Linked DNA regions of Oryctolagus cuniculus. The protein of the gene in region 2 interacts with the protein of the main gene of each other region in a pairwise test. Links are inferred from orthologs where the notes say so. Each region holds a gene or a part of one and is shown on either strand. Other genes may lie near its edges. The genes, in order: ECH1, EEF1G, GET4, KLHL18 and ILF2.

Region 1 (3,536 bases), on a different chromosome or scaffold from region 2:
TGGGACCATACATGGACACGCAAACTCAACACTTGCAGGAAAGAGGCCAGCGGCTCCAGACTGGGTCGCAGGGGAGCCCTTCCGGACTGCGGCGGCACCGGAGCAGCTAGGCTGAGCCGCAGGGTGAGGACTCTCGGGACTTCGGTCCCGCCCCTCCCCCTCCCTCCCCCCCTCCCCCGCCCCGCTCAGGGCACCGGCTCTTCACAAGGCTTTATTGATCACCAGGATGAGGAGGCCAGCACCTTACAGCTACGGCCTGGGAGGTGCGGGAAGGCGCCCCGGCCCGCGCGTCCCCCACCCCAGCGGAGGGGAGCCTTGCGCGGGGAGGCACAGGGCGAGGCCCTCAGAGCTTGGAGAAGGCGACGGTTTTGAGGTCCTTCTTCTCCATCGCGGCCTGGACGGACTTCATGATGTCCTGGGTCTGGAGCATGCTCATGTTCCAGGTCGCCTGGAGGATCAGCAGCGGCCCAATCAGAGGCGCAGGCGCGCGCAGAGAGCCAGCCGCGCGGCCCTCAGGGGGCGCTCTGCGGGCCGGGCGGCTTGTGAGTGGCAGGAGCGAGCGCCTTACCATGTAATTGAGGCTCTCGGCCACGGTGTGGTCCCGGGAGTAGACCAGGTTGATCTTGCTGCTCTGCACGGCCACCGGGCTCTTGCTGGAAATCTCGGCCGCCAGGGCGAAGGCCGCGTCCAGCATGACCTCCTTGTCCGGGAACACACGGCTGCCACGGAAGGGAGCGGCGGTCAGGAGGGCTGAGCAGGGCTCCACGCCACTCCCGCGGCCGGCAGGAGACCCCAGTGACCCGGCCCGAGGGCAGCCGGGCAAGAGCCACCCCCCACCCCCCACCCCGTCCCCAAGAAAGCAATGAGCACTCAGGGAGGTCACACGGACCCGGGGAGCGGGGAGCGCGCCCAGGTGGCGCTGACCCTACCTGACCAGCCCGCTGCTCAGGGCCTCGTCAGCCATCATCTTGCGCGCGGTGAAGGCCAGCTCGTTGACCAGGCTGCAAGAGGCCAGGGCGCGTGAGCAGACGGCCCTCACCCCGGGGCCTGGAGACCCCTTGCCTTGCGGCTCCCTCCCCGGCCGTATCCTGCCGACCTCTGGTTTCCGATGACCTTGGGCAGCCGCTGCAGCGTCCCCACATCAGCAGCCAAGCCTATGTCCACCTCCTGCGGGGGCAAGGGCGGCAGAGCCGTCGGGCGCCTGCACCAGGCTGGCCCAGACAGCAGTGGGTTGTGCAGGTCCCTTCCTGGGAGGGGGGGCCTGAGCCCTGCATCTCCGGAGGGAAGCCTCCTTGGCCGTCCCTGCCAACGCCTTCACTGCGCTGGGAGCTCCATTCTGCCACCCACCTCCCCACCATCCCCTGCCCCCTTGGCCACACCCTTCCCCACTATGACTTCACCTGGACCCCTTGCCCTTGTCTTCCTCCACGGCCGGCTGAGGCTTCCTTGGAAAAATTCAATTCTGACTCCCCCAGCCCCCCTGCCCCCCGGCGGCTGGCACTGTCCCTGCTCTGCCCAGGCCGATCGCTCACTGCCCAACTGCCAGCAGCACCCGGGGAAGGAGCTGGGGGGGGCACCTTACCTTCACCTGGAAGAAAGCATCCTGGGCACAGTACCGGATGTCACAGGCGGTGACTAGGTCCACACCTGGCAGGCAGAAGCCGGGGACACTGAGCAACCACAAGCACTAAGCCCCTCCTCCTGGGAGGTGGGGTTGCGTCTCGAGACAGCCACAGAGCTGAGGCTGGAGGCTCGCGGCCAGGGAGGGGCAGCCCCCCACCCCTACCCCAGCAGGCGCACCCTGGTGGGAGGCAGGCGGCTGCAGACTCACCCCCGCCAATGCAGCCCCCGTGGATGGCGGCGATCACGGGCTTGGGGCACTGGAAGGGAACAGGAGGGGCGGGGTCAGGGCTGGCGGCGGAGAGGCAGGTGGCAGGGATGGCCCGTGGTGCCCCAGAGTCACCTTCTCGATGACGCTGAAGGTCTCCTGGTACCTGCGGATGAGGTCACGGAGGTACCAGCTGATGCGGGCCGGGTCGTCTCCTTGCGGCTGCAGGAGGTCGGAACCCACGTCCATGAGGTCGATGCCTGGTGAGGGGGTGGCAGGGGGCTCACCTAGCCTCATAGACCCCACCCATTGCCCCAGCTGGCAGCCCAAAGCCAGGCGCAGCAGGCCCAAAGTCCCCCAGCCACCAGAGAGCACGCGCGAGGGGCTGCGAGCAGGAGCAGGCCTGAAACAGGGGAGCCAGCACCCGGCTCTCGCTCATGCCCCAGCAAGCTGTGCCCTGGTCCTGTCGCTACTGCTGCCGCACTGATTTTCCTAAAAACATTTATTTATTCATGGGAAAGAAAGAGAGAGAAAGAGGGGGAGAGGGAGAGGGAGAGAGAGAGAGAGATCTTCCATCCACTGGTTCATCCCCCAGTGGCCACCACTCCATCTGGGTCCCCTCACCAAGGGTGGCAGGAGCCCAAGCGCATGCGCCATCTTCCTCTGCAGGGAGCTGGATCAGAAGTGGAGCAGCCGGGACTCGGACCAGGGCTCGTGTGGGATGTCGGCACTACAGGAGGCGGCTAACCCACTGTGCCACAAGGCCAACCCCTTCCCGATGGGTTAACGGCACAGAGAGGTTAAGTGCCTGGCAGCACTGAGGTTTCAGACCACGGGACCACGCGGCTGACTCCAGGGGCTGTGCTCCCCCTCACACCTGTCGGCCTAAGGAGCCACAGGCACGAGCTCCTTGGTGGCGATGTTTCCTGAGACGCGAAGAGCAGGGGGTGCAGAGTTCGTGCCTCCAACTTCAAGATAATCCTGAACCTGACCTTTCCGACCCCAGCCAACCTCCGTGCCCCTCCCCCTGCTCCTGCCCGCTCCCCACACACAGCCGGGGGAACCTGTGCACAGCCCAGTAGAGAACAGAATAAAATGCCAAGTTCATGCTGGGACCTCCCAGGCTGCGCAGCCATCACTTCCGGCCGGCCTCCAACCGTTCCAACTATGAGACACCGTGGCTCTGCCGCATGGCGGCCGGCCGGGGCCCCTCCATCCATCTGCTGGTTCTGCCCTGCCGCACATCTCGCTGTCACGGACGCTGTGCTGGTCTGGTTGAGCACCTGCTTCTCTTTCTGGGATGTGAGCTCCAAGACGCAGGGGCCTGTGTGTGTCTGTCCACTGCTCTCTCCCCAGTGCCTGGGCCCAGGCCCGGGACACAGTGGCTGCTCAGAAAGCAAACAGTGACAGCCCCTGCTCTCAGATAAGACAAACAATGAAGACAATGTGGGGCCGGTGTCAGGCACACTGGTCGAGCTTCTGACACCTGCAGCCCATATTGGAGCGTGGGGTCAGTCCAGGCTCATCTGCTTCCGATCCGGCTCCCTGCTAATGCGCACCCTGGGAGGCAGCAGGGAACGGCCATAGTGCTTTGGGTCCCTGCCACCCATGCGGGAGACCAGGATGGAGTTCTGGGCTCCTGGCTGTTGCGGGCGTTTGGAGAGTGAACCAGTGGGGAAGGGGATTTGAATCTCTGTCACTCATAAAA
Region 2 (4,056 bases):
CAAACTTCTCAGTGGGAAGCAATTCCCTTCCCTCAACCCTCCACAGAACTAAAAAAAGCTGCTTCACTGAATTGAGTCTGGCTCACCCAGACCAGCCCTCTTTCAATGGAGTCAGATTCTAAGATGATTCCAAATCACAAAGCTCTCCATGGTTAAATTTCTTTATGGCAGTCTGGCTTCATTTCCACAGTAATGATGGTACTCATTTATCTTTGGATAAGTAGATGGAATCTTGGACGTCATCTGGTTTAACTCTTCTACAACTTGGTAAACTTCCTACAACAGAAATCTCTCCTCTGATCTCTTATGACAGATAACACTTCCACTGACAAAAAAAAAAAAAAAAAAAAAAAAGCCAGACAGCACCCACTGTCCCACATGTATACTCCAAAGCCTACGTTTCCTCATTGCCCACACATCTGTGGTACTTTGCTTTCTCAGCCTATTGTATTTCTTACTCCCCAGCATGCAGAAGCTGATGCCAACCCTGCTCCTGCTTCTCCCCAAGTTCCGAGGCTCACCTGCTTGTTGTGATGCATGATGCCCAAGGTGGGGAACACCCAAGTGCTGGCTGGGGGCACTATGTCACTATCGGCAAAGCTCACCCACTGCACCACCTGGGCGGCTGCCTCTGGAGTACTTCCCCGCAGCTCCTCATTGCTCACTGCAGAGGCAGAACACAAAGAGCAGAACTTTGGGATCATGCCAACATAAGTCTAGGTTCCCAAGAATTCTTCCTTGTCCACTCCAGCTCACCCGCATCCTCTCCTACACCCTCACCTCCACACCCTCCCATTCCCATAAGTGCCTGTAAATTACCATAGTAGGCAATGGCGTTGCTCTCAAACACACAGAATCCATCATCACCTTCAAATGCTGGAACCTGGGGGCAAAACAGTGAAAACATAAAGTACATTTCATTAGCGAATCCCAGGAACTGAACTGCTTTGGACAAAACTGTCTACATAAGGCTGACAATTCTTGTAATCCAAACTCTTAATACCGTCTAACAAACAGACTTTGATAACTTGGTATCCCCTGTAATCTGAATTTGCCATGTCTAAACTAAGAAACCCAAAATATTTGGTTATTATAAGGTATTTGTATAGAAGTCTTCAAATACGAAGGGGCTAGAAACGAAGTTATACATGTTTGCTGTATCACTCACTGTATCTGGCCTACGCATATACACCTGATCCCTCCACTCTTAGTGAAGTAATTTCCCTATCTCTGTAAGCCCCTTGGATTAAAAACCTTGCTCACAATATATAATCTATATACTCACACTGAAATAGTTGGCCAAAACTCATTCTCTTTCTCAGAAATATAAAGCATGCCTGTCAGTTTTATAAAGTCACTGAGGAGCTATTATTTTTCACAACTACAATTATCTAAGAAAGTGTTCTTAACCACTGAAATGTGAAAGAAAATAACATGAGAAGCTGTCTTTTAAAGATAAGGCCCATCCCCAGAGTGACGGAATCAGGGCTCCTAAGGGTCCCAGGTCCAAAAGCCCCTCACCACTTCCTTACTCACCTTGCCAGCAGGGAATTTGCGGAGAAATTCAGGGGTTCGGTTGGTCTGGCCGAAGTGGAAGTGGGGGGGTGCGGAGAGCACGCGGACCTGAGCCCCGCTGTACTGAGCAGCGATGAGGGCCTTAAAGGCCCTCCAGTTTTCAGGGTATGTGTACAGGGTCTATGTAAGAAAAGGGGAAAAGATTAATGTGAGGAGGGGTCCCAGCCTGCGCGCCATATGCCAGCATGGCTTTCCTCAGCCATCACAATCGGTTCCGCTCACTTTTACTCCCTCGGGGAAACCAGGTTCCCTAGTGCTTGCCACATGTAATCAGAGTCCTCCGAAGCACCAAGCACAGAACTACGCATCAGCGGCTAAATAAAGCTCGGGGACAAACTGACCTTCCCTAAGGACATCTCGGGAAGCACTCATTCTCCTTCCCCTCATATTTATCTCCAAGAAGCCCAGCACTGCCTCCCTGAGACTCCGTCTGCCTACAAACCTACACCCCTGCCTTCCCGGGGGCTGCGTTTCATTCATTGACGGTTCCCCAGTGCCTGCCTACTCCACCGCTGAGCTCATCACTGCCTCAGAGCCACCAACCTCCTCTGCAAGGCACACACATCCGGACGTTTCAAGTTCCCCTCAGGATAGCCATCGAGACAACCAATAGCATGCCCTCTTCCTAAATCGACTCCTTGCCCTAAAAAGCCTTTCTTGCCGAGTCGCGCACGCCTTCCCTCCCGTCCCGTCCCGTCCCGCAGCGAGTTCCCAGCTTCTGCCATCTCGGAGAGCCCGGCCAGAGGGATCCATCCACCCGGTCTGGCCTCACCGTCCAGAGATGCCTCGCTCCCCCAAGCCTCCCTGAGCGGCAACCCCTAACCATGCCAGCCGAGCCTCTCCACAAAGACCCTCCTCTTCGCTCTGCCCCCGCTGCTGCCCCACAAAACGGCCGCGAAAGTTCCGCCAACCTGCCCGGATCCCGCGTCTCAACGAAGCAATGAAGCTGAACCCCCTGTCAGGCTCCAGACGGCCCAGATCCAGCATCTCATTGCTCCTCTACCCCAGACTCTTCCACCTCTGGCCTCGGAGAGCCCCAGCCTCAGTTCCCTTCCGGGCCCTAGGACCTCCGTTCTCCTACAGTACGGTCTGTAAACTCCGGATCGGTCCCCCACTCAGCTCCAGAACGCCTCCGGCGCCGACTGGCCCTACTCAGACAGAGGATGGCGGCGGATAAGGTGACCCGGCTCACTAGACCCGGCAAACTTACCCCGGCCGCCATGGTGATTCCGCAGAGAAAGGGGGTTGGGCTCTCAGCGCTGCCGCAAAGTAAGCCGCCAGGGAGAAAAGGGAGGGGGTAAGGGGAGAGCCGTGGAGAAACAGCAGCCGGAAAGCGAGGACGGCATAGAAGGCACACGCACGACAGTTCGGTATCCAGCCGCGTTGGAGGGGGTGGGGCCTGAGGGGCCGCGCAGCCGGCGCGCTGGGCTTGTGACTGGCCGGCCCTTCTGCTGCAACCGACCAATCAGAGCCCCGAGGTGGAGGTAGAAGGCGGGGGGGGGGAGGCGGGGGCGGGGAAACTGTGAGAACCGGCTAGCAGGGCCGCCCCTTCGCGGCTACGTGGCACAGCGGCCCACCCAGTGCGGCGCCGGCTCCCGCAGGCGCACCCCTCCCGCCTTCCTGCGGCAAGCGGCCTGACGGTAGGTTCTGCCAGCCCCTCGCATCGCCCGCGAAGCTCACGGGGCCGAGAAGCCAGAGCTGCGCGGAGGCGGGAGCTGGCGAGGTTCCTTTTGTTCCCGCTCTGGACTTGAGAGAGGAATGTACACGTAACAGGGGCTCGGGTCTGAAACCATCTGCCCGAGTGAGGTTCGCTCACATGACACTAGTTTGCAACTCCGCATGCTGGTACTGCGACAAGGACACCAGACCTCTGACCCGCAGCAGTTCAGGGGCGCAGGAGAACCCAGCCATGGGCCCTGCCACCCGCTTCGGAGCCTGCATTCTGCTGGGTTGCTTTTTACCCATGTTCCGGTGTGAAAATCTATTACTCAGTTGAAGAACGAGAATGGAAGAGGTCTGAACCCACATCTCCGGCTTTGACACCACGTGTAAACCCGGGGCAGCAGCCTCACTGGAGGCAGACTTGCTGCAAAGCCCGCAAGCACGGTCATTCGGGAACTCTGCCAGGTGCCTGCAGGCAGTGCTAAGTGGGAAGACCAGGGTGATCGGGGTCAGACAAGGCAGATCTGAGAGGGCTGTATTAAGGTGTGGGAGAGCCCAAGAAGGAGGCGGAAAGTACCGGGAGAAAATCAGAGAAAACTGGAGAGTATTTGTATTAAACTAGCAGCTTTATTGCCCTCTATGGCCCATGTTCACTTGAGGAGATTTCGCAGTGCTTGAGGGAGGAAAACTTGTAAGAAGTGATAGAGGTCAGGGAACAGGCCCTGGGAATCCCGGAGAGGGGTCACAGTGAGAGTCTGGTCAGCTTGGGAGGCAGACACGATGAAGGTCAGGAGGGGGTCAGTTTCTAGCCTGGGTTCA
Region 3 (4,103 bases), on a different chromosome or scaffold from region 2:
CCACGGGACTGAGCAGGCGAAGACCCCGTCAGCAACAAAGCGGACTAAGACACCCGCAGGGACCCCCACCCCGCTCAGCGCATTCAGAATCCAAACAGGCGCCCCCACCGTGACTGCACTGCGCGGGGTTCTAGAAGCCCATCAACCCAGAAGGGCTGACGGCAGCCACTGGGGGGCGGGCCCGGCCCACGTGACTGGTTGCCTGGCAATATGCAAACGCATGACACACATCAGAACCCCAGCTAACTCGGGGACTCCCACTTCCGAGAGGCCGCACTCCCAGAGTGCACCTGGGGACGCGTGTGCTGCGTCCCGGGCCCCAGTGGGGGGTCTGGCAGAAACGCAGCCTCCATGGACGCACTCGTCCACTGAGGGTCACACCAGGGCCAGGCCCGCGGTGCCGCCTGGAGTTCCGGCTGCCCCAGCTCTCCCCAGCTCCCGGCTCACGGCCTGAGAAAGCCGTGGACGGCGGCCCAGTGCCGTGTCCCTGCACCCACGTGGAGACCCAGACGGAGGGCCAGGCTCCTGGCTTCAGCCTGGCCCAGCTCTGCCTTGGGAGTGAACCAGCTTTAAGGGTTAACAACCAAGCCCTGCGGACCTGGCCCACGCGAGGCAGTGTGTTTCCAGGAAGAGACACTCGTGATCAGTCACCATGCAAACACCTACATCCCGGTCCCCAAGACCAGCACCCGTCTCATCTCGGGGGCGCAGGTCCAGACGGGACGGTGCGCACACACCCCACACCACTGCTCCCCGAGGAGCGATGCAGCCCGCGGGGAGCCAGCGCGCCCAGAGCAGCCCACGGCAGCCGCGGGGGAGCCAGCGCGCCCAGAGCAGCCCACGGCAGCCGCGGGGAGGCAGCGCGCCCAGAGCAGCCCACGGCAGCCGCGGGGAGGCAGCGCGCCCAGAGCAGCCCACGGCAGCCGCGGGGAGGCAGCGCGCCCAGAGCAGCCCACGGCAGCCGCGGGGAGCCAGCGCGCCCAGAGCAGCCCACGGCAGCCGCGGGGAGCCAGCGCGCCCAGAGCAGCCCACGGGCATGGACATGACCACCCCGGGGTGAAGGCTGCACGACCTCAAACCTCCTCCTGAACCCATCTCCTCGCAGCCTGACTGCCGGGCGTCACTGCACAGAAGGTTCCGGAACCAGACCTGTCTCAGGTCACTTAGGAGAGCGACTCACACCTCCTCCTCGGCCAGGAGCCCGGGACTCCACACACACTCCCTACCCGGGGCACAGCAGGGCTGTGGAGGCAACAGACGCCAAGGCAGGGCGGTGCTGGCCTCGCTCGGTCCTCTTCCCGGGACAGGGGTGCTGGGCCCACGCTCAGTCCTCTGCCCGGGACAGGGGTGCTAGCCCCACGCTCGGTCCTCTTCCCGGGACAGGGGTGCTGGGCCCACGCTCAGTCCTCTGCCCGGGACAGGGGTGCTAGCCCCACGCTCGGTCCTCTTCCCGGGACGGCGGTGCTGGCCCCACACTCAGTCCTCTGCCCGGGACAGGGGTGCTAGCCCCACGCTCAGTCCTCTGCCCAGGATGGGAGTGCTGGCCCCGTGCTCAGTCCTCTTCCTGGGACGGGAGTGCTGGCCCCACGCTCGGTCCTCTGCCCGGGACGGGCGGTGCTGGCCACGCTCGGTCCTCTGCCCGGGATGGCGGTGCTGGCCCCGTGCTCGGTCCTCTTCCCGGGACGGCGGTGCTGGCCACGCTCGGTCCTCTGTCCGGGATGGCGGTGCTGGCCCCGTGCTCGGTCCTCTTCCCAGGACGGCGGTGCTGGCCCCGTGCTCGGTCCTCTTCCCGGGACGGGGGTGCTGGCCCCACGCTCGGTCCTCTTCCCGGGACGGGGGTGCTGGGCCCACGCTCGGTCCTCTGCCCGGGATGGGGGTGCTGGCCCAACGCTCGGTCCTCTGCCCGGGACGGGGGTGCTGGCCCAACGCTCGGTCCTCTGCCCGGGACGGGGGTGCTGGCCCCACGCCCGTCCTCTGCCCGGGACGGGGGTGCTGGCCCCACGCCCGTCCTCTGCCCGGTGTCCCCCGGCCGGGGCCTCAGACCCTGCGCCCCCGCGCCCCGCGAAGCCCAGCGACTCTCACCACGGGCCCCAGGGCTGGCACGCACGTCCCACGCGAGTTACCGAGAACCGAACCTGCCCCGAAACTCAGCCTCACGAAACAGCGGGCGCCGGGCCGGGCCTGAGCCGCGGGCTCGCATGGCGGCCACGCCGGCGCCGGGGGCGGGCCGGGCCGCAGGCCGCGCCGAGGGGTCGCCCCACGGTCAGGGCGCCCGACGGCCGTGCCGCCCGCGGGGACGCCCCAGCCGGCTCGCAGCTCGCGGAGGGGAGGCCGCGGCCGCGCCGGGCCGGGTCAGGCCGGGTCAAGCCGGGCCGGCCGCCCGCAGCCCCCCGCCCGCCGCCCCAGCCCCCCGCGCCCGGCCGGCCTCGGCCTCCGACAGGCAGCCGCGCGGACCAATGGGGGCGCGGGCTGGCGCGGCGCGACCAATAGGAGGCGGGCGGGGGCGGGCCGGGCCGGGCGGACGCGCCGCGCCGCGGCTACCTGAAGAAGAGCGTCCGGTACATCTGGTGCGCCTCGTAGTAGTCGCCCTTCTCCACGCTGGCGCGCAGCTTGCCCTCCACGCGCTGGACGCCGCCGCGGTTGCGCGCGCCGTTGCGGGCGCTCTCCTGCTCGGCCATCGCCGCCGCCATCGGGCCGGCGCTCCGCGCAGGGCTGACGCTGTCGCTGTCGCAGGGGCGGTCGGCGGCGACTCCCTCCCGGCTTCCGTCCCGCGGCCGCGCCACGCCCTCTACGGTGGCCGCGAGGAGCCGCACGCAGGCGCGGGGCGCTGCGCGGTGGGCACACGTGACTCAGCAGCCGGGCCGCCTGTGGCGAGGGGCACGTGGCCCGGGGGCGGAGCCGCGGGCTACCACCTGACGCGGGCCGGGCGCGCGCTCGCAGCACAATGGCTGACGCGGCCCTGGACGCTGGCCGCCCCGAGAGCGCGAGGGGCCCGCGCCCACGGGGCCGCCCGGAGAGCGCGAGGGGCCCGCGTCCACGGGGCCGCGGGAGAGCGCGAGGGGCCCGCGCCAACGGGGCCGCCCCAGAGCGCGAGGGGCCCGCGCCCACGGGGCCGCCCCAGAGCGCGAGGGGCCCGCGCCCACGGGGCCGCCCCAGAGCGCGAGGGGCCCGCGTCCACGGGGCCGCCCGGAGAGCGCGAGGGGCCCGCGCCCACGGGGCCGCCCCAGAGCGCGAGGGGCCCGCGTCCACGGGGCCGCGGGAGAACGCGAGGGGTCCGCGCCCACGGGGCCGCCGGAGAGCGCGAGGGGCCCGCGTCTACGGGGCCGCCCGGAGAGCGCGAGGGACCCGCGTCCACGGGGCCGCCGGGAGAGCGCGAGGGGCCCGCGCCTACGGGGCCGCCCCAGAGCGCGAGGGACCCGCGTCCGCGGGTGCCCCGGCCCCTCGTGGAAACCGAGCCGGCGACGAACGCACGGCCGACCATGATGGGGGCACCGCTCAGGCCGAGGGGGCGACTCGTGTCTGGCGGGTGAAGCCGCCGCCTGCAGCGCGTGGGTTCGAGCCCCGGCTCCGCTTCCGGCCCCGCTCCCGCTCACGGCCCGGGACGCGGAGCCGCGGGGTCTCGAGCCGGCGCCCGCGTGGGCTGAGCCGCAGGCGTGGCCACGTCACGGTCACTCCCCTCCCCGGGCCGCCCGCCGATGGCGGGGTGGCCAGCGGGGCAGCAGGCGGGCGGGCAGAGGAGCTCTGTGCCTCCGTCTGCGCCTCCAGTTCTGCCTGTAAATGCAAAGGCGCAGACAACCCGAGGAGAGCGCACGGCTTGCTGGTTTAAACACCACATGCACTGTAAAAATTAAAACTCTTTATTTATTTAAACATTTCAGTAGCATCTTATCAACTGGTGTCCGCGTAAGAAGCATTACCAAAGACGTATTCTGAAAAGCATTTACAAAAATACATTGCACAAAGTCCTATCTTCAAAAATAAATATGCAAAATATGTCCACCCGCTCCGGACCGAGTCTCACGTAGGAGATCCTGGTGCACGTGTGAGCTGTGTCGCCGCGCAGCGCCAGCCCTGAACGCGCTCCGGTCTGCGCGTGCAGAACC
Region 4 (3,536 bases), on a different chromosome or scaffold from region 2:
GAGTTAGAGAGGGAGGGAGAGACAGAGTTCTTTCATGTGCTGGTTCTCTCCCCAAGTGACTGCAACAGCTGGAGGAAGGCTGATCTGAAGCCAGGAGCCAGGAGTTTCTTTTGGGTCTCCTACATGGGGGTAGGGGACCCAAGCACTTGGGCCATCTTCCACTGCTTTCCCAGGCCATTAGCAGAGAGCTGGATCAGAAGTGGAGCAGCTGGGACTCGAACCAGTGCCCATACAGATGCTGGCGCTGCAGGCGGAGGCTATAACCTACTACACCACAGCACCTGCCTCCAAAATAACTCAACATGGAAGGAGTAGGTGCCCTTAGCCCAAGAGGAGCCCGACTCACACTGTTGAAGATCTGCAAACCATCATGGCCGCCCGACACATATATCCTGCCCTCAAAGACCGTAACCCCAGCGGCACTGCGATTCGAGCTCATCGGGGTCACCACTGTCCACCTTTAAAAAAGAGTCAAAATAAAGAGAAGACATGAGAGCTGGTCTCCTAAGACAACTTACCAGGGCTTGGGTGGACCGTGGATAATCTCCCCACATTTTACCAGCTTTCCCATCACTTCTGTTGCTGCCTCTCATCCAAGTGCAGACACACAGCCCATCTTCTCTGCTCTTTTCCATGTGCACTCCAACCCAGCATGTATCAAACCAGGCCTCTTTCTCCCACATATCTGCTCCTCTCATGTCTACTCCCTCATCCTGTTAATGGGACCACCAGCTATCTCCTTGCTGCACTTAATAAAAGTCAGAATTTGGGGGGCTGCTTCTCCCTCACCCTTAACATTCTTGTGGTCCCCAAGTCCTGGCTGGTTTGTTTTCTGGTTGCTGCTTGTTCCCATCTCCATCCTTTTGCCATAGCTCTGGCCTCTCACCCCGACTATAGGAACAGCCTCCTTACCAGCGGCCTGGCTTTCAGACCACTTCCCATTCCAACCCATGTAGCCAGTGGCTGTACCACAGCCCTCGTCTAAGGCAGTTTCCAAGTTCCTTAATGTGTTTTTTACCACTTTGTCCTCACCCACTTTGCAGAGCCACCCCTTGCCACACTGTATGTTCCAGCCCACTGGAGGCTAACTGCTGTCCTCGCCACTGTGAACACTTTCTTACCGAAGAAAGTGCTGGCTCCCTGCTCATGATGAGCAGCCTCTCCCACTGTCTACCCATGATAGGTCTCACCTTGGAAGACATCCCGGCCACTCTGCCTCTCCTCCCAGCCCCAGGGAGGAGGAAGGTGCTCCCCAATCTCTGCCCAAGAGCACCAGACACAAGCCTCCCGGGTAGGATGACAACGCATTCATTATGAAATACTGAGTATTACTTTAAGGATCTCATAGCCAGCTTATGGCCTGACATCTAGTAAGTTCGTGAAGTGACAGTATACTAGCTCAAAAGCATCCTGATGAGTCCACTCAACCCATTTGCTTATATTTTGTTACACAATATGAGAGTGTTCAGGCTAATCTTGTGTTTTCCAAAGACTGTTTCACAAAATAACCTCAAGATGTTGCTAGGTATTATATAAAACACAAGGTTAAACTTCACTCTAGAAGTTTTCAGAGCCTTTAAAATGTTAACAGGGATTATGGAAAGACAAGGACTCTGGTGGTACAGACATCAACATTTCCCAAGCTTATCTGATCATATAACGTCTTTCTTTTTTTCCAAATCATATCCTGCTCACTTTGGAACATGTTGCTGGTCTACTTCCTATTCTCTTTCACTTGCATTTCCATTAAAATAGGCTGACTGATTAAGAGGTACAGACCACCAAACAAATGCTTCCAAGTATCTGTATAGATCGTTTGAAAAAATTATTCAACAATTCGTTCATTTAACCAAGGATGTGTAGCACAGCCTATCACACACAAGACATTATAGGTTAAGATTTGTCTACAGTCAAGAAGTCTGTGGTCCCAAGTTTTTTCACACACTCTGCTCAGTAAGCTCCAGTTGCCCCAGAGGAGCCAGAACCCTTACTTATCCGTCTCAGGCGAGTAGGTCTCCACAGAGTTGAGGGAAGAGTTTCCATCGTAGCCCCCACACACGTAGATCTGCCCGTCCAGCACGACTGTCCCCATGGCACTGAAACAGACAGAGCTGTCATTCCAGATGGGCCTCAGACTCCCAGTGCTGCCTCTTATGTCCACAAGAAGTTAACCTATCAATGCCTTTTTCTGCCTGAAATGCTCCCTTCCAACCTGCCATGCTGATGGTCTCATTTACCTTTACTGCCCAGGTCAAATTCCTCTTGCCTCTCCCTCCTTAAAAGCTACCTGAGACCCCTCAAACAAGACTTACTCTCTTCCAACCCCACATTCCCACAGCTGCTTCTTTCTTTATTTCATCACTTGTTGCAATCATTCATTTATTCATCCATCATATTTTTATCAGTCACTCACAGGGCACACTGTCTCAGGCACTGGGTTTAGAGTGGTGAGTAAGCCCAAGCTTTTGCCCCCAAGACACTTATGTTCTGACACTATGGAATACTAGGGCTCGGTCTGCCACCTCTAAACAAGACAGGGAAGGTCTTCATATGTGTGACCTTGACAGTAATTAGTGTAGTGTCTGGAATATAAGAGGCCCTCAGTATATGTTCACTGTGTTACCTCAGATTCTTCCCACTCAAAATAACAGATGTGTTTTCATTACACACATGGCCTTGTCTGATGCCTAATTTGTCTAAGTGGGTGATGCATGTCAGGTGCTTTACACTTAATAGATTTTTTAAAATTTTGTAACAGGAACTTCACAAAATTGTATACTTCATTCGTTTCAAATGGATACATGGTTTTTAATCATAAGTACTTCAAGAGCAGTAAGTTCTCAAGATTCTTAATATTGAAATTATTTTTTTCTGCTCATACGTATTCAGTTTTCTTTATTTTCTTTTGGTACTCTACTTATTAGCTACCACTACACTTACTATTTTCAACCCTCTCCATGCCCTGCAAGAAGTGTGGGTCACTATCATAACTGCACAAATGCACAGCTGGGGCTCAGAGGCTGGGTTTTCTCCAGCCTGCCCAGGGAGATAACTGCCTTCAATGTAAATGAGACAAGATCAACTCCCTGCCACTCACAAAGCCAAGTTCCCAGAGTAGTAAAGACCCAGGGGACTGGTGAAAACATTTAGTCTGCTTTGAGTCCTGGCTGTTACACTTCTGATCTAGCTCCCTTTTAATGCGCCTGGGACAACAGTGGAAGATGGCTGCAGTGTCTGGGCTCCTGTCACCCACACGGGAGACCTGGATGGAATTCCAAGCTCCTGGTTTCGACTTGGCCTAGCCCCAAGTGTTGTGGACATTTGGGCATTGAACCAGCAGATGGAAGATCTCTCCCTGTTTCTCCTTCTTTCATTGTAATTCTTTCAAACAAATAAAACAAAACTTGAAAAAAAGAGACAGATTAAACATCAATTAAGTGGTAAGACAAGTGTGTAGAGAAAAGGGAAAGTGTTGATCAGTGTGGACTGGAGTAGCCCAGAGCAATAAAGTTCCACGGAGGTGGCCTGGAAGACTG
Region 5 (4,014 bases), on a different chromosome or scaffold from region 2:
CAAAGATAACATTCTGGATGGGCTCATTCTTTTGCCTCCCCTCCCCAGGCTGCCTCCAGTTGAGAAATACTGCCTTATAGAACCGGCCATACATTCTTTCACTCACTCCAGTTTCTCCTTTGTCATGTTGTAAAAAGAATCTTTTCTCACAAGAAAGCTGAGCTTTAAAGAGCCTAGGCCTCAAGCCATAGAACCTGCCACATTCCGTTCCCACTGTCACAAGACAGACACTCACACGTCGGCAGGATCTTGAGTATCACCACCAGGTCAGCCACATTGTGTCCTGTAGTCATTGTTCCCTTTTTGTAAGATCCTACCTGCCGGACTTCTTCAATTTGCTGTTGGGAAAGAGATTTCAGGAAAAAAAATTTCAGATGCCTCGATGCTCTCAGAACTCTGTGATAGGTAACAGCTTCCTATTACTCAGACTTGGAAGTAGCAAAGGTAAAATCCTACCCCAAGAAACCACATGAAAGCCTGGCCCGTCATGGCCGGCTGGTATCAACACAAACCGTATCCCCAGGATCAGTATTAACAAAGAAAGGAATCCCACTGTACTGTCCAGGTTCAGGCAACTGAAAAACTAAGAGACAGGAGCCAAGGAAATCTGCACATCACCAAGGCCGCCCTTTCCTGGGGCTGTCATCAGAAACTCACCACTTCAAATGTCCCCGGAGCCACAATCAAATTGTCAATCACATTGTTTATTTTTGTCACCAGAGAAAGGATAGAAGCCTGAAAAACAGTAAAATCCCAAAATGAAAAGTTGTAAGCAATTGCTCTGAGTTTGGATATTTTCTCCTGATCCCTTCTGTGGAAGCTGCCAGCCATCAACAGAAGGTTCTAAAAACAACTCAGTGCTTCTGGTCTTGAACTTGCCACAGACAGATTCCCCAGTGAAAATACAAATGTCTATGCCATGTGTTTAAGACGCTCACCTCGCTCCCCATCTCCAACCACAGTGAGACAAGAATGCAAGCTTTGGTGGGCCTCAGGCTCAGGGAACCTATTCTTACTCTCCACTTCCCTTCTGTGGAGAAAGCTCAGAAAGGGAGCCACGAGCACACACCTGTTCGGCAGAATTGGGAGCAAGGTCCTGATTCCTCTTCAGCAAAGCTTCACTGAAGGAAGTCTCATCAGGGGCCGGCTTGACCCGGGGGAAAGCCATTTCACACTAAATCACCAACAAACAAGTATAAACCATTGACCACCAACAACATACAGGAGAGACTGGTTTTATTCCTCTATTAGTGCAACAGAAAAACTTGAACACAGAAAATTCTGCAACACTTGCGGTGCAGTGGGTTAAGCTGCCACTGGCTTCTGATAACAGAGTCCCGGCTGCTCCACTTCCAATCCAGCTGCCTGCTAATGATCTTGGGAACGCAGTGGATGATGTCCCAAGTTCCTGGGCCCTTGTCACCCATGTGAGAGACCAGGATGCAATTCCTGGCTCTTGGCTCCAGCCTGACCCAGCCCTGGCTATCGTGGCCATTTGATGAATGAAACAGTGGATGCAAGATATTTATTTCTCTGACACTGTGCTTTTCAAATAAATAAATCTTTTGAAAAAACCTTCCAACAAGGACCCAGAAGAACAGCCATAATTTATGTTCTTACTACCTTTATATTAACAAATAAGCCAGAGATGCAATGAGTTGTTCAAAGATTATAATCAGGTTATTGCCAAGTATGCTAACACACAACCCCAAGGCCGTTCCCAAATCCCTTCTCCTACTGCGACCACCATGTCAGGGGGCTGTTGGCCTCCACCACTTCTCCATCTGCTGGTGACCAGGGGTCAGGACCCGTTCACCAACCCAAAGCACTTACCAAATAGAAATCAAATGGGATATGCGGCACAAAGGGCCTGAACCTGCAACAAGACAAACAGCTCAAATTATTCAGCACACAGCAATCAAGCAAGATGTACACGATGCACCAGCAATTTGGAAAACACAGACGCACAGCTTGCGGAGGGCCGAGTGGGCTTCTGAGCAAGGCCCGCAGCAGAAGCAGGGTGTGACCCCGCAGCCGGCTCGCACAAAAACACCCTCAGACCCCGCCAACCTCCTCTTAGGTGCCCCAAACTAGCAAGGAAAACTGGCACTCACCCTCCGCCCGGGCCGCCTCTGGAGCCGAAGCGCCCACCGCGACCACGGCCTCTGTCACCCCTGGAAATGCACAGACGTTACTGCCTGGGAGCCGCCGCGGCCCGGCCTCGCTTCCCGCCGGCCGCCCGCCGCCGCCCCCTCCCACCCCGCGTCCCGAATGGCGCCCGGCCCCCCACTGCTCGTGACCTCCTGCTGCCGGACGACTTATCCGCCAGGTAACAGCGTCGCGCAGCGCCCCTGCGAGAAAGACCCTATAACCCGGGGGCACGCCAGCCCCCAAAGCCGGCGCTCAGCGCCCCGGCCGGGCACATGCCGGGCGTCACACGCGGGCCGTCAGGACCAGCGCCGCACGCGGGGAAGCTCCCCCGGCGGCCTGAGCACGACGCCCTCGCGGAGGCGGGCGCCCGCCGCCTCCCCGCCCCGGCCCCAGCCCACGCCGGGCCCGCGCTCCCACCTCCACCCGCCGGGCTCCCCGCGCTGCCGGCCCCGGAGTTCGCGGGGTTCCGGCCGGCCGCAGAGGCGCGGCCCTGCCCGGTCCTCCGACTCCTCTCGACCCACCTTCCCAACATTCTCGGTCGGATACCCACAATCTTTCCAGCACCTCGGTCCCCCTACCTCATGGCGCCCTTAACACCGAACAATGGAGGCCGCACCAACCGCCCCTTTCCTCAGAGAAGCAGACAACTGGAAAGGCGTCTGGCCGGCGTGTCCCAACAAAACGCGCTGCGATTGGCTCCCGCCTTGCTCTGTCGCTTATGCTTATTGGTTTGCTTTGGAGAACCGGGCTTATGGACCAATAAAAAACGGCTATCGTGCCAGGAACCGGCCAATAAGAACAGGCGTGACAGTAATTACAAATTTTTTGAGCCAACACTAGGTGGCGCTGGATAGACTTTAAAAACGACGAACAAGTGAATTGCCTTTTATAATAGCGGGAAGGTTGGTGTCCAGTAGCAGAGTGGCGCAGCGGAAGCGTGCTGGGCCCATAACCCAGAGGTCGATGGATCGAAACCATCCTCTGCTAAGGGCTTTGTTTTTCGCTTCTCAGTTCCACATGCTGCTACAGTACTCCCTCCTTTAAAACCATCTCGCCAATCTTTGCTGCTTTTGAAACGCATCTTCTGCCTCTACCGCCATCGTGTAAAAGGTACCTTCCCTAGAAGGGAAGGAGTGTATGGACTGTGGTGGAGAAACAAGCTTTGAGGTGTTAGAAGGAAAATTGACAAAGTCTTGGAATGACAAATCAGAGAAGGAGAGTCAAGAAAGTGGCGGGTCCCGTCTTCTCCTGTTCCTGTTTTTTGCTCCTGCAAATCCTGGCATGATCCCGCCTCACCCTCACCGGCCACACGGACACACGGTATTTGCATTTCCTTAACGTTTGTTCCTCCTCGGCGTCCCCTCTCACTCACTGGGGGGGGGGGGGGGGGGGGGCCTGCAGCCCCTTGTGGTGGTCCCCAGAAAAGTGAGGCCCGAACTGGAAACAACCTAGAGGTATTTACACGTGTCTCGGCGAGTTGGCCGTACTGAATTCATGGAGAGTGGATGACAAATTGGTCTATGTGTACACAACGGAGTGCTACGAAAATCTAACAAGAGCAGATCGCTGACGAGTGCAAAAACATGGAGGAACCCGGACCGTGTCAAGCGAAAGAAGCCAGACGAAAAGAGAATACATACGATGCACCCTGATCAGAGGAACCAGAGCGGCTGCTTTCCCGGCCAGGGCAAAGCAGAGTGAAGGAACTTGCAGTGAGCGAGAGGGGACATTAACAACATTAACCAACGCTGAGGCGTGGAAAGGTTACAAAAAGCCCAAGTGATGGCATCGATTTAAATGCAAATACTGTGCATCTGGCAAGTGAAGCTGTGAGGCGGGATCATCCCAGGATTGGTAGGATCC

What was found.
Region 1: the proteins of EEF1G (region 2) and ECH1 interact in a two-hybrid assay, tested with the Homo sapiens proteins (2 studies listed by BioGRID and IntAct). The link is inferred for Oryctolagus cuniculus from reciprocal best matches to the Homo sapiens genes EEF1G and ECH1.
Region 3: the proteins of EEF1G (region 2) and GET4 interact in a two-hybrid assay, tested with the Homo sapiens proteins (2 studies listed by BioGRID and IntAct, with this or other methods). The link is inferred for Oryctolagus cuniculus from reciprocal best matches to the Homo sapiens genes EEF1G and GET4.
Region 4: the proteins of EEF1G (region 2) and KLHL18 interact in binary tests that used the Homo sapiens proteins (3 or more experiments, as listed by UniProt). The two-hybrid records come from large-scale screens. The link is inferred for Oryctolagus cuniculus from reciprocal best matches to the Homo sapiens genes EEF1G and KLHL18.
Region 5: the proteins of EEF1G (region 2) and ILF2 interact in a two-hybrid assay, tested with the Homo sapiens proteins (2 studies listed by BioGRID and IntAct). The two-hybrid records come from large-scale screens. The link is inferred for Oryctolagus cuniculus from reciprocal best matches to the Homo sapiens genes EEF1G and ILF2.

The regions. Positions count from the first base shown.
Region 1 is NC_091449.1:15,916,398-15,919,933, reverse strand, and holds the end of ECH1 (delta(3,5)-Delta(2,4)-dienoyl-CoA isomerase, mitochondrial), read right to left. Parts: intron 2,089-3,536; coding exon 1,964-2,088; intron 1,881-1,963; coding exon 1,832-1,880; intron 1,648-1,831; coding exon 1,583-1,647; intron 1,168-1,582; coding exon 1,097-1,167; intron 1,002-1,096; coding exon 930-1,001; intron 720-929; coding exon 569-719; intron 449-568; coding exon 344-448; 3' UTR 199-343; downstream 1-198. UniProt on the Homo sapiens protein: Isomerization of 3-trans,5-cis-dienoyl-CoA to 2-trans,4-trans-dienoyl-CoA.
Region 2 is NC_091432.1:8,977,988-8,982,043, reverse strand, and holds the start of EEF1G (elongation factor 1-gamma), read right to left. Parts: upstream 2,808-4,056; 5' UTR 2,798-2,807; coding exon 2,786-2,797; intron 2,139-2,785; exon of another isoform or gene 1,932-2,138; coding exon of another isoform or gene 1,917-1,931; intron 1,696-1,916; coding exon 1,537-1,695; intron 884-1,536; coding exon 820-883; intron 665-819; coding exon 522-664; intron 1-521. Other genes in the region: TUT1 (speckle targeted PIP5K1A-regulated poly(A) polymerase), read right to left, coding at 3,888-4,056. UniProt on the Homo sapiens protein: Probably plays a role in anchoring the complex to other cellular components.
Region 3 is NC_091450.1:36,346,616-36,350,718, reverse strand, and holds the start of GET4 (Golgi to ER traffic protein 4 homolog), read right to left. Parts: upstream 2,836-4,103; 5' UTR 2,691-2,835; coding exon 2,542-2,690; intron 1,207-2,541; exon of another isoform or gene 1,096-1,206; coding exon of another isoform or gene 1,073-1,095; intron 1-1,072. UniProt on the Homo sapiens protein: As part of a cytosolic protein quality control complex, the BAG6/BAT3 complex, maintains misfolded and hydrophobic patches-containing proteins in a soluble state and participates in their proper delivery to the endoplasmic reticulum or alternatively can promote their sorting to the proteasome where they undergo degradation.
Region 4 is NC_091441.1:101,515,383-101,518,918, forward strand, and holds part of KLHL18 (kelch-like protein 18), read right to left. Parts: intron 2,097-3,536; coding exon 1,992-2,096; intron 459-1,991; coding exon 347-458; intron 1-346. UniProt on the Homo sapiens protein: Substrate-specific adapter of a BCR (BTB-CUL3-RBX1) E3 ubiquitin-protein ligase complex required for mitotic progression and cytokinesis.
Region 5 is NC_091438.1:44,651,009-44,655,022, reverse strand, and holds the start of ILF2 (interleukin enhancer-binding factor 2), read right to left. Parts: upstream 2,802-4,014; 5' UTR 2,735-2,801; coding exon 2,730-2,734; exon of another isoform or gene 2,684-2,729; coding exon of another isoform or gene 2,673-2,683; intron 2,352-2,672; coding exon 2,301-2,351; intron 2,175-2,300; coding exon 2,115-2,174; intron 1,877-2,114; coding exon 1,834-1,876; intron 1,175-1,833; coding exon 1,070-1,174; intron 736-1,069; coding exon 658-735; intron 339-657; coding exon 236-338; intron 1-235. UniProt on the Homo sapiens protein: Chromatin-interacting protein that forms a stable heterodimer with interleukin enhancer-binding factor 3/ILF3 and plays a role in several biological processes including transcription, innate immunity or cell growth.